Linked DNA regions of Oryctolagus cuniculus. Each later gene encodes a partner of the first gene's protein in a complex. Links are inferred from orthologs where the notes say so. Each region holds a gene or a part of one and is shown in the gene's direction. Other genes may lie near its edges.

Region 1 (4,736 bases):
CAAACTAGAGCCAGGAGTCAAGAGCTTCTTCCAGATCTCCCATTTGTGTGCAGAGGCCCGAGCACTTGTGCCATCCTCTGCTGCTTTCCCTTAGGGAGCTGGATTGGAAGTAAAGCAGCTAAGGCGTGAACTGGCACCAATATGGGATGCTGGTGCTGGCTTAACTCTGCTATGCCATAGAGCTGGCCCCTGCTAGTACTTTAAACCGCCGTTAACCTTCAGGTGCACCCTTTACCAATTAAATGTAAGTTACTTACCTTCTTCTTGTTGTTTTTAAGATTTATTTATTTGAAAGGCAGAGTGACAGGGGAAAAGGAGGGGGCACGGCAACAGATTGCTTCCATTCCTTGGTTTGTGCTCCAAGTGGTCATGACAACTGAGGCAAGGCCAGGTTGAAGCCAGGAGCCAGAAGCCCCATCTGGGCCTCTACCACATGGGTAGCAGGAGCTCAAAGTACTTTAACTATCATCAGTTGCTTCCCAGGGCATTGGTAGGGAGCAGGATTGGAAGCAGAGTAACTGGGAGTTGAACTGGCATTCTGATACGGGATCCAGGCATCCCAAGTGGTGGCTTAACCCACTGTGCCACAGCACCTGCTTCTCCTCACCTTTTTTAAACCTACCTTGTCCTTTACTCTGGTTCTTTTCAATTGTTCTTTACTGAGGTTATATTTTCTCTCTCTCTTTCTTTTTGAAGATTTATTTATTTGAAAGGCAGAGTTACAGAGAAGCAGAGGCAGAGAGAGAGAGAGAGAGAGAGAGAGAGGTCTTCCATTCGCCGGTTCACTCCTCAGATGGCCACAATGGTCGGAGCTGGGCTGATCTGAAGCCAGGGTCCAGGAGCTTCTTCCAGGTCTCCCACGCAGGTGCAGGGCCCAAGGATTTGGGCCATCTTCTACTGCTTTCCCAGGCCATAGCAGAGAGCTGGATCAGAAGTGGAGCAGCTGAGACTCAAATTGGTGCCCATATGGGATGCTGGCACTGAATGCAGTGGCCTTACCTGCTATACCACAGTGTTGGCCTCTGAGGTTATATTTTCAGATTCCCTCTCATTCCTTGTAATCTTTGAAGGTCTTTTTCAAATACTAACTCTGCTATGACGTGTCACTACTCCAAACATTCAGTTCAGAGGTAAACTCTTCTTCCTCTGTGTCCTGTTTCTGTAATGCTTTGAGTGCATATTAATGGCACTTACACATATTTTGGCCTTTATCAGTGTGGTTAATTTCTGTTAACTACTTTTGCATCAGGGAATCTGAATTCTGTTTAATGCCATTAAAAATAATCACATTATTCTGAGATTATATGTGCTGAATTCTTATTTTGTGTTCCACAGATTCCATGCAATGGAAAAGCAGCTGATCGCATCCATCAGGATGGAATTCACATCCTTGTGAATATGAATGGTTATACCAAGGGTGCACGAAATGAGCTCTTTGCTCTTAGACCAGCTCCTATTCAGGTAAAGGAATTAGTCACTCGGGATGTATCTTGGACTACAAAGATAGTGATGTATTTTTTTCCCTTAGGCTAACAGATACATGAAATAGTAGAGCAGACCTAGTTATGTTTTAGAAACTACAGTTCTTGAAATGTACAGGGACACATAATTTTGAGTGCAGAACACAGTGCCTCTGGATACATGCATATGTACCCGTATGGAGACATGCAATTCATGGTTGAATTATACAAATTTGAAAAACATTTTGGCACTTAGAAGATTAGTCTAAAATACTACTTTATTGCTCTTGGTTAAAGAAGTTAATCCTAATTGTTAATTTATTTAAATTTGGAACAATTTTTAAGGTTTATTTATATTTATTTATTTATTTTTGCCAGGCAGTTAGATAGAGAGAGAGAGACAGAGAGTTATAGACAGTGTGAGAGAGTTATAGACAGTGAGAGAGAGACAGAAAGGTCTTCCTTCCGTTGGCTCACTCCCCTAATGGCCACTACGGCCGGCGCTGCCAGGAGCCAGGTACTTCATCCTGGTCTCCCATGTGGGTGCAGGGCCCAAGCACTTGGACCATCCTCCGCTGCCCTCTTGGGCCACAGCAGAGAGCTAGACTGGAAGAGGAGCAACTGGGACTAGTACCCGGCGCCCCAACTGGGACTAGAACCTGGGGTGTTGGCGCCACAGGTGGAGGATTTGCCAAGTGAGCCACAGCGCCGGCCAAGGTTTATTTATTTGAAAGGCTGAGTTAAAGAGAACAGAGACAGATCTTTCATCTGCTGGTCCACTCCCCAAATGGCCTCAATGGCTGGAGCTGGGCCAGGCTGGAGCCAGGGGCTTCATCCAGGTCTCCCACTTTAGTGGCAGGGCCACTTGGGTGGGTGGCTTTTCCAGGTACATTAGCAGGGAGTTGGATTGGAACTGGAATAGCTGAGATTCCAAGTGGCAGTGGCTTAATCTACTGGCCAGCCCCTAAATTTGGAACCTTTTAATGAGTGTTCTTATGTTTTTTTTAAACACTTTATTGAGGTGTGATGCATGTACAAAAGAGTCTATCCATCTTTAATGCGTACAGTTTGTTGAATTAAGAAAGAAGTATACCGATGAAGTTTCTTAATCAGTTTCTGGTCTTTCTCTCTTTTAAAGGCGATGTGGCTGGGATACCCTGGGACTAGCGGTGCACTTTTCATGGATTATATAATCACTGATCAGGAAACATCACCAGCAGAGGTTGCTGAGCAGTATTCTGAGAAATTGGCTTATATGCCCCATACTTTCTTTATTGGTGATCATGCTAATATGTTCCCTCACTTGAAGGTATGTAGAAAACTGCCGAGGGGCTGGGATTCAAAGAATTGTCATCATGTATTTCCTTCTTGTTGCTCATATGCACCCTGAGACATGTCTGAAACGTTTTTTTCCATTAGAAAAAAGCAGTCATTGATTTTAAGTCCAATGGGCACATTTACGACAATCGGATAGTTCTGAATGGCATCGACCTCAAAGCATTTCTTGATAGTCTACCAGATGTGAAAATTGTGAAGGTAAGAATCTCGTCAGTGTTACCATTGAAATAATGATAATTGCATTTGAGATCTTTCCTTAATGTATTTTGTATCCTTTTGTGTTTTTAGATGAAATGTCCTGATGGAGGAGACAATGCAGATAGCAGTAACACGGCTCTTAATATGCCTGTCATTCCTATGAACACTATTGCCGAAGCAGTTATTGAAATGATAAATAGAGGACAGATTCAGATAACGATTAATGGATTTAGTATTAGCAATGGCTTGGCAACCACACAGGTGAGAAAAGAATAATAGTCTATTACATGTGCTACCAAGCATGCGTTTATCTTCTTTAACCCTCACAGTTAACTCTAGGAGGGAAGCATTATTATCCTCATTTTACAGATGAGGATGTGAGTTCAGTGGAAATTGGTGTCCTTGTAGGTTTGAATTTAAAAGTCTCTTGTATTCAGCCAGCAGGTTGCTGAGAGAGAGTTTACTGTGTTAATATCTTGTTATTCCCTGCCTGTGGCTATGCTCTCTATCATATGGTGAAATGTGTGTCCTTTTCCTGGGCTAAATTGTACTTACACTTTACATTCAGACAGCTCCTCTCAATAATCTGTTCCTGTACTTTAGGTTTTACCTCTTCAGCCCTACTCCATTGATAACCTCCCTGTTGTGTTTTTGTAATATTTGAGATATTCAACAGAAGACATTATCTCTGTGTCCTCCAGTGAATTGAATTACTCTAGGGCATGTGTGTTAACCACAATAATGTAATATGCACTCAACAAATAATGTATTGCATGCTTGAATAAATGAGTATGCACCTCTGTTAAGAGAGTGTGAGGCTAGGATCCCAGACCTCTTAGGAGTTAACAGTTTCGTTGAAATGGCTGAACCTGCCTAGAATAGTTAAATAACAGCAATAACAGCATAAGGCAGTACTCGCAAGTGTGGGTTTGCAAGATAAGGTAGAAGCTCAGAAATGCTGATGATCAATGTGGGGAGAGACAGTTGCGAGAGGAGACCATTTGGAGGGATAATTTCAGTTTAGCGATGCAATTTAGAAAAGGAATATTTCATTCATGAGAAAAAGAGTGAGCAAAAGCTTGCTGTTGAATTATTAATAGGGTACTGGGAAATTTGGTTAGAGCAAGAAGTTTCAGGGCTGGTGCAGTGGCTCACTTGGTTAATACTCTCCAGATCCCATATGGGCACTGGGCTCTAGTCCCAGTTGCTCCTCTTCCAGTCCAGCTCTCTGCTGTGGCCCAGGAAGGCAGTGGAGGATGGCCCAAGTGCTTGGGCCCTGCACCCCATGGGAGACCAGGAGAAGCACCTGGCTCCTGGCTTCAGATTGGCGCAGTGCCAGCCGTAGTGGCCATTTGGGGAGTGAACCAACAGAAGGAAGACCTTTCTGTCTCTCTCTCTCTCACTGTCTGTAACTCTACCTGTCAAATAAATTAAAGTATGATGGCATTGCTTCATCAAACAAATTACCAATGAATGAATTACCTTGAAAGTTTTATAGTGCAGTCCTCAAATTAAGGCAATGTTGCAGCCATTTCCTTTTTTTTAAAGATTTTATTTATTTGAGAGGTAGAGTTACAGACAATAAGAGGGAGAAGAGACAGAGAGAAAGGTCTTCCACCCTCTTGTTAACTCCCCAAATGGCCACAATGGCTGGAGCTGGGTCGATCTGAAGCCACGAAACTAGGAGCTTATTCTGGGTTGCCCTTGTGGGTGTAGGGGCCCAAGTGCTTTCCCAGGCCG
Region 2 (4,641 bases), on another chromosome or scaffold:
CCGGGGCTCTGGGACACAGCTGGTCTGGGCACCTGTTTGTGAAGTGTTTCCACGAGCCTTGTTCCCTGGAAGGCGGAGAGGGAGTAGTGCCCAAGTGTGCTTGTAGCGGGGCGGGGGTCTCGGGCCAGCAGAGTTCTCTCCCGAAACTCCAGGGCGGATACATAGTTTGCTGTTGTCGCATCTCTCCTGTCGGGCCGGGTCTGTCTCTGTGTTTTAATGCTTCTGTCAACAAGTAGCGAAACAGTGGTGAAGCCGTGTTTGTCGGGGGCTCCCCAGCCCAGAGCCAAAGAGCTGCCCGGCCGCGCCTGCCCAGCCCAAGTTCCAAAGTCGTTTCTGTTTTAAACTTGAGCTTTTAGAAGTGCATTTAAGAGCCTGGAGCCGGGCCGCGCTGGTGTCGCCTCGGAGGGGCTCCATGGGGTCCCCCGCTTCCTCCTGGTCTGTGGCAGAGCCGCGCCAGGGCTGGGGCCCGCTGGGCTTGTGTGGTCAGCTGCTTTGTGCAGGGTCCCGGCCGTGGTCCCGTGTGGTGTCCGTCTGCATAAACCAAGCTGTTTCTGTGAAACTGTACATTTGTAAATAAAGATGGTTCTCCTTTGAGCGCGGCGCCGGCCTGTGTGTTCCGTGCAGAGGGCATGGGGGGCTCCCCGTGCCGCGCGGAGGGGCCGGGGCTGGGCCAGTAGGGGAGGTGAGCGCCTAGCGCGCGCTATGCAGAGAGGCGAGACCACCACCCACCTCCCAGCCCAGCCTTACCGCGCGGGGGGAGGGGCGATGGGCAGGGGTCTCGGCCGGCCCCCTCCCTCCCCGCAGCGCCAGGCTCTTCGAGGGCGCGGGGCCGGGCCGGGAGGTGAGCGGTCCAGGGCGCGTGATGCAGAGAGGCGAGACCACTGCCCATCTCTGAGCCATACCCGCGCTGGGGGAGGGGCGATGGGCAGGGGTCTCAGCCGGCCCCCTCCCTCCCCGCAGCGCCAGGCTCTGCGAGGGCGCGGGGCCGGGCCGAGGGCGCGGGGCCGGGCCGGGAGGTGAGCGCCCAGCGCACACGATGCAGAGAGGGGAGACCACCGCCCACCTCCGAGCCATACCCGCGCTGGGGGAGGGGCGATGGGCAGGGGTCTCAGCCTGGACCCCGGCAGCGCCAGGCTCTGAGGGTGCGGGGGCCGGGAGCCCCCAGACCCGGCCCGAGCCCCGCGGCCCCGCGCCCGTCCCGCCCCCCTCCCGCCACCCCGCAGGCCCCGCCCCCGCCTGCCGCGCCGCCATCTTTGTTGGGGGCAGCTGGGCCTAGTGGCGGAGATGCCCAAGTCCTGCGCAGCCCGGCTGTGCTGTAACCGATATGGAAATTGTAGGAAACAGCTCACCTTCCACCGGTGAGGGGGCGCGGGGAGGGGGCGCACGGGGCGGGGGCGCCGCGTGCACCTGGCCCGGGGCACCCGGGAGCTCAGGGACTCGGGCAGCCGGGGGAGGGGGGAGACCTGGGGGCCGCCCCTCGTCCCGTCTGTGCGGGCCGGCCCGGGGGTGCGCACCCCCTCTGCTCGCTCCACGCTTTCGTGCCAGGCAGCCGGCGGGGGCCGCGGAACCAGATCCTGGCTGGCCCCGCCCGCTGCATGCCCACCTCCCCGCTGAGGGCATTGGGGCAGCTCCCTGTCCGGCCGCCTCAGACGCTGCCCTGGGCATTCACCCGGGCATGGAGCTGCCTTTTTTTTTTTTTTTTTTAATTCATTCGTTATTTATTTTGAAGAGAGAGAGCGCGCGGAATCTTCTGTCCATTGGTTCACTCCCCAAATGGCCACAACAGCCTGGGCTGGGCCAGGATGAATCAGGAGCTCCCTGGGCTCCCACGTGGGTGCAGGGCCCCAGGCACCTGGGCCACCTCCCGCTGCTTTCCCAGGTCACAGCAGGGAGCTGGGTCAGAAGTGGGCTGTTGTGGACTCTGATGCGGGCTGTTGAGCCGCAGGCCAGGCCCCGTGCTCACCTTGGCCTCTCTGGGCCGCTGGACGGCGCCCATCCCTCGATTGCCCGCTGGGCTTCTCGGACAGTCAGCTCTTTGCCGGCTTGCTTCCTGCACGTCCAGTGCGGGTACTGAGGGTGTGGGCCGCGTTCCCTCCTGCCCGGGTGCGTGGGTTTCCGAGGGCCGGCCTTCACACAGCCCCCAGGAGCCATCCCTGTGTCCACCTGCTGCCCTGCACTTGGGTAATCCAGAAGTACCTTGATTTTTTTTTTTAAGACCTATGTATTTCCTTGAAACCGGAGTTAGAGATCAGACTCCATCCCTGGTTCACTTCCTAAACGGCCTCAACAGACACAGCTAGGCCGGGCGGAAGCCAGGACCTGGGACCCCATCGGAGTCTCCCGCGTGGGTGCAGGGGCCCAGGCACTTGGACGGTCCTCTGCTGCCTTCCCAGGCGCCGTAGCAGGGAGCTGGATCAGACGTGGACTCCGGTCTGGGAGGACGGTCTCGCAGGCGATGGCTTCCCCTGCTGTGCCACGCGTGGCTGATCCCGAGGCAAACCCCACTCTGAACTGTCCTGGGCTCCCCGCCTCCCGCTGACACCTGCTGTGACCGCCTGGTGCCCTCCTGCAGCTCAGCCCTGGCCCCCACGCCCTCCTGCTGTGTCCTCTGCTGGCTAAGCGCGATCTCTTCAGGTGGCCCTCCCTGTCCCCCCAGCACTTCCTGTCAGCTGATGCCGCCCACGTGGTCGGTTCCTGCCTGCTTGGGAGCGGTGGTCTTGCTGACCCCAGGCGGCCAGTGGTAACAGGGCCTCGGGATGTTGGCCGTTTTCATGGTCGGTTTGCTTTATTAGGATGCCATGAAGAGTCATGACGGAAGCTTCCAGAAATCAGTTGTGATTTTTTTTTTTAATTTATTTGAAAGGCAAAGTTACAGAGAGGCAGAGAGAGGGAGGTCTTCCATCTGCTGGTCCATTGTCCAAATGGCTGCGACAGGAGCTTCTCCCGCGCGGGTGCAGGGGCCCAAGGACTTGGGCCATCTTCTGCTGCTTTTCCACGTCATAGCAGAGCTGGATCGGTAGTGGAGCAGCCGGGGCGTGAACCGGCGCTCATATGGGATGCTGGCAGTGCAGGCGGCGGCTTTAGCCGCTGTGCCACAGCACCAGCCCTCAAGATGTGATTGCACAGAGGGAGGTGACTGCGCGCCCAGCGGGCTCCCCAGGCGCTGAGCTCGCTCACGTGCCCGCTCGCCCTTCTAGGTTCCCGTTCAGCCGCCCCGAGCTGCTGAAAGAATGGGTGCTCAACATCGGCCGGGCCAACTTCAAGCCCAAAAAGCACACGGTCATCTGCTCCGAGCACTTCAGCCCGGAGTGCTTCAGCGCCTTCGGGAACCGCAAGAACCTGAAACACAACGCCGTGCCCACGGTGTTTGCCTTCCAGGACCCCACGCAGGTAGGGCGCTCCCCGACGGCACAGGCAGCCGGGGGCAGGGAGCCAAGGCCAAGCACTAGCGCAGGAGTGGCCCCGTCGGGCATCTGGGGCTTGGAGCCCTGTGGCTCTGCCGGCCTTGACCTTGAGTGGAGAAGGGGTCAGTTGGGCCCCTTTAGGCCAAGTGTGCTTCCCGACAGCGCGGTTGGAGGGGCTGCCTGCCTGGGTCTCCTGCGGCCGGCAGCACGTGTCCTGGGCGGCCCGCAGCTGGCATGCTGAGGGCAGACAGCGGCAGGAAGGCGGGAGGCGTGGGACGGTGGGCAGGGGCTGGGAGTGGGGGAAGGTCCCCCAGCTGGAGGTCCCCAGAGGGCAGAGGGAGCACAGTTAATAGGTGGGCGGCTCGAGCCGAGCACTGCCGGTTCTGGAGGCCGTGGAGCAAGGCCGGGTCCTGGCGAGTGTCCTGGGGTCCGCAGGCCGGCCGCGCAGACGGCGGGAGCAGGCTGTCTCCTGCCCAGAGGCCTCACCTCCTGAGACCTCCCTGCAGGCCTGGCGGTGGAGGGGAGGGGCTTGGAGCTGGCTGAGGCCCTGATGGACCTGTGGGACACGAGGGGACGGGTCTTGGGGGCGGGGTGTGTGGGTGCTGCTCAGCAGAGTTTGTGAAGAGTGTGGGACGTGGGAGCCATGAGAGGGTGACCTCGATTTTCCTAAATCCAGTGGGTGCCCAGAGCAGGCGTGGGCAAGCAGAGTGAGGAAGACTGAGGCCGACTCTGGACTCAGTCAGCAAACGTGCCTGCGCCCCTGCGCCCTGCCTGCCCGGCTCTTCCCAGTCGGCCCATCCCCTGCCTGCCCCACGTCTCCTGGCACCTGCGGCCACCTGCCCCCCCCCCCCCCCCCTTATTTATTTATTTGAAAGGCAGAGTTACAGAGAGGCAGAAGCAGAGAGGTAGAGGAAAGTCTTCCACTGCTGGTTCACTCCCCAGATGGCCAGGAGCCGGGAACTTCTTCCGGGTCTTCCATGTGGGTGCAGGGCCCCAAGGACTTGGGCCATCGTCCACTGCTTTCCCAGGCCACAGCAGAGAGCTGGATCAGAAGTGGAGCAGCTGGGACTTGAACTGGCGCCCACATGGGATGCCAGCACTGCAGGCGGCGGCTTTACCTGCTACACCACAGCGCCAGCCCCACTTACTCCCCCCCTTTTTAAAAGATTTATTTATTTGAAAGGCAGAATTACAGAGAGAGAGAAGGAGAGGCAGAGAGAGAGAGAGAGAGAGAGAG

What was found.
Region 2: OGT (region 1) and THAP3 share a complex: the UniProt entries of both Homo sapiens proteins name them as parts of the THAP1/THAP3-HCFC1-OGT complex. The link is inferred for Oryctolagus cuniculus from reciprocal best matches to the Homo sapiens genes OGT and THAP3.

What each region holds. Positions count from the first base shown.
Region 1 is NC_091453.1:51,360,270-51,365,005, forward strand, and holds part of OGT (UDP-N-acetylglucosamine--peptide N-acetylglucosaminyltransferase 110 kDa subunit), read left to right. Parts: intron 1-1,335; coding exon 1,336-1,461; intron 1,462-2,598; coding exon 2,599-2,769; intron 2,770-2,879; coding exon 2,880-2,996; intron 2,997-3,086; coding exon 3,087-3,257; intron 3,258-4,736. UniProt on the Homo sapiens protein: Catalyzes the transfer of a single N-acetylglucosamine from UDP-GlcNAc to a serine or threonine residue in cytoplasmic and nuclear proteins resulting in their modification with a beta-linked N-acetylglucosamine (O-GlcNAc).
Region 2 is NC_091438.1:160,922,824-160,927,464, reverse strand, and holds the start of THAP3 (THAP domain-containing protein 3), read left to right. Parts: upstream 1-1,223; 5' UTR 1,224-1,284; coding exon 1,285-1,358; intron 1,359-3,197; coding exon 3,198-3,390; coding exon of another isoform or gene 3,391-3,392; intron 3,393-4,641. UniProt on the Homo sapiens protein: Component of a THAP1/THAP3-HCFC1-OGT complex that is required for the regulation of the transcriptional activity of RRM1.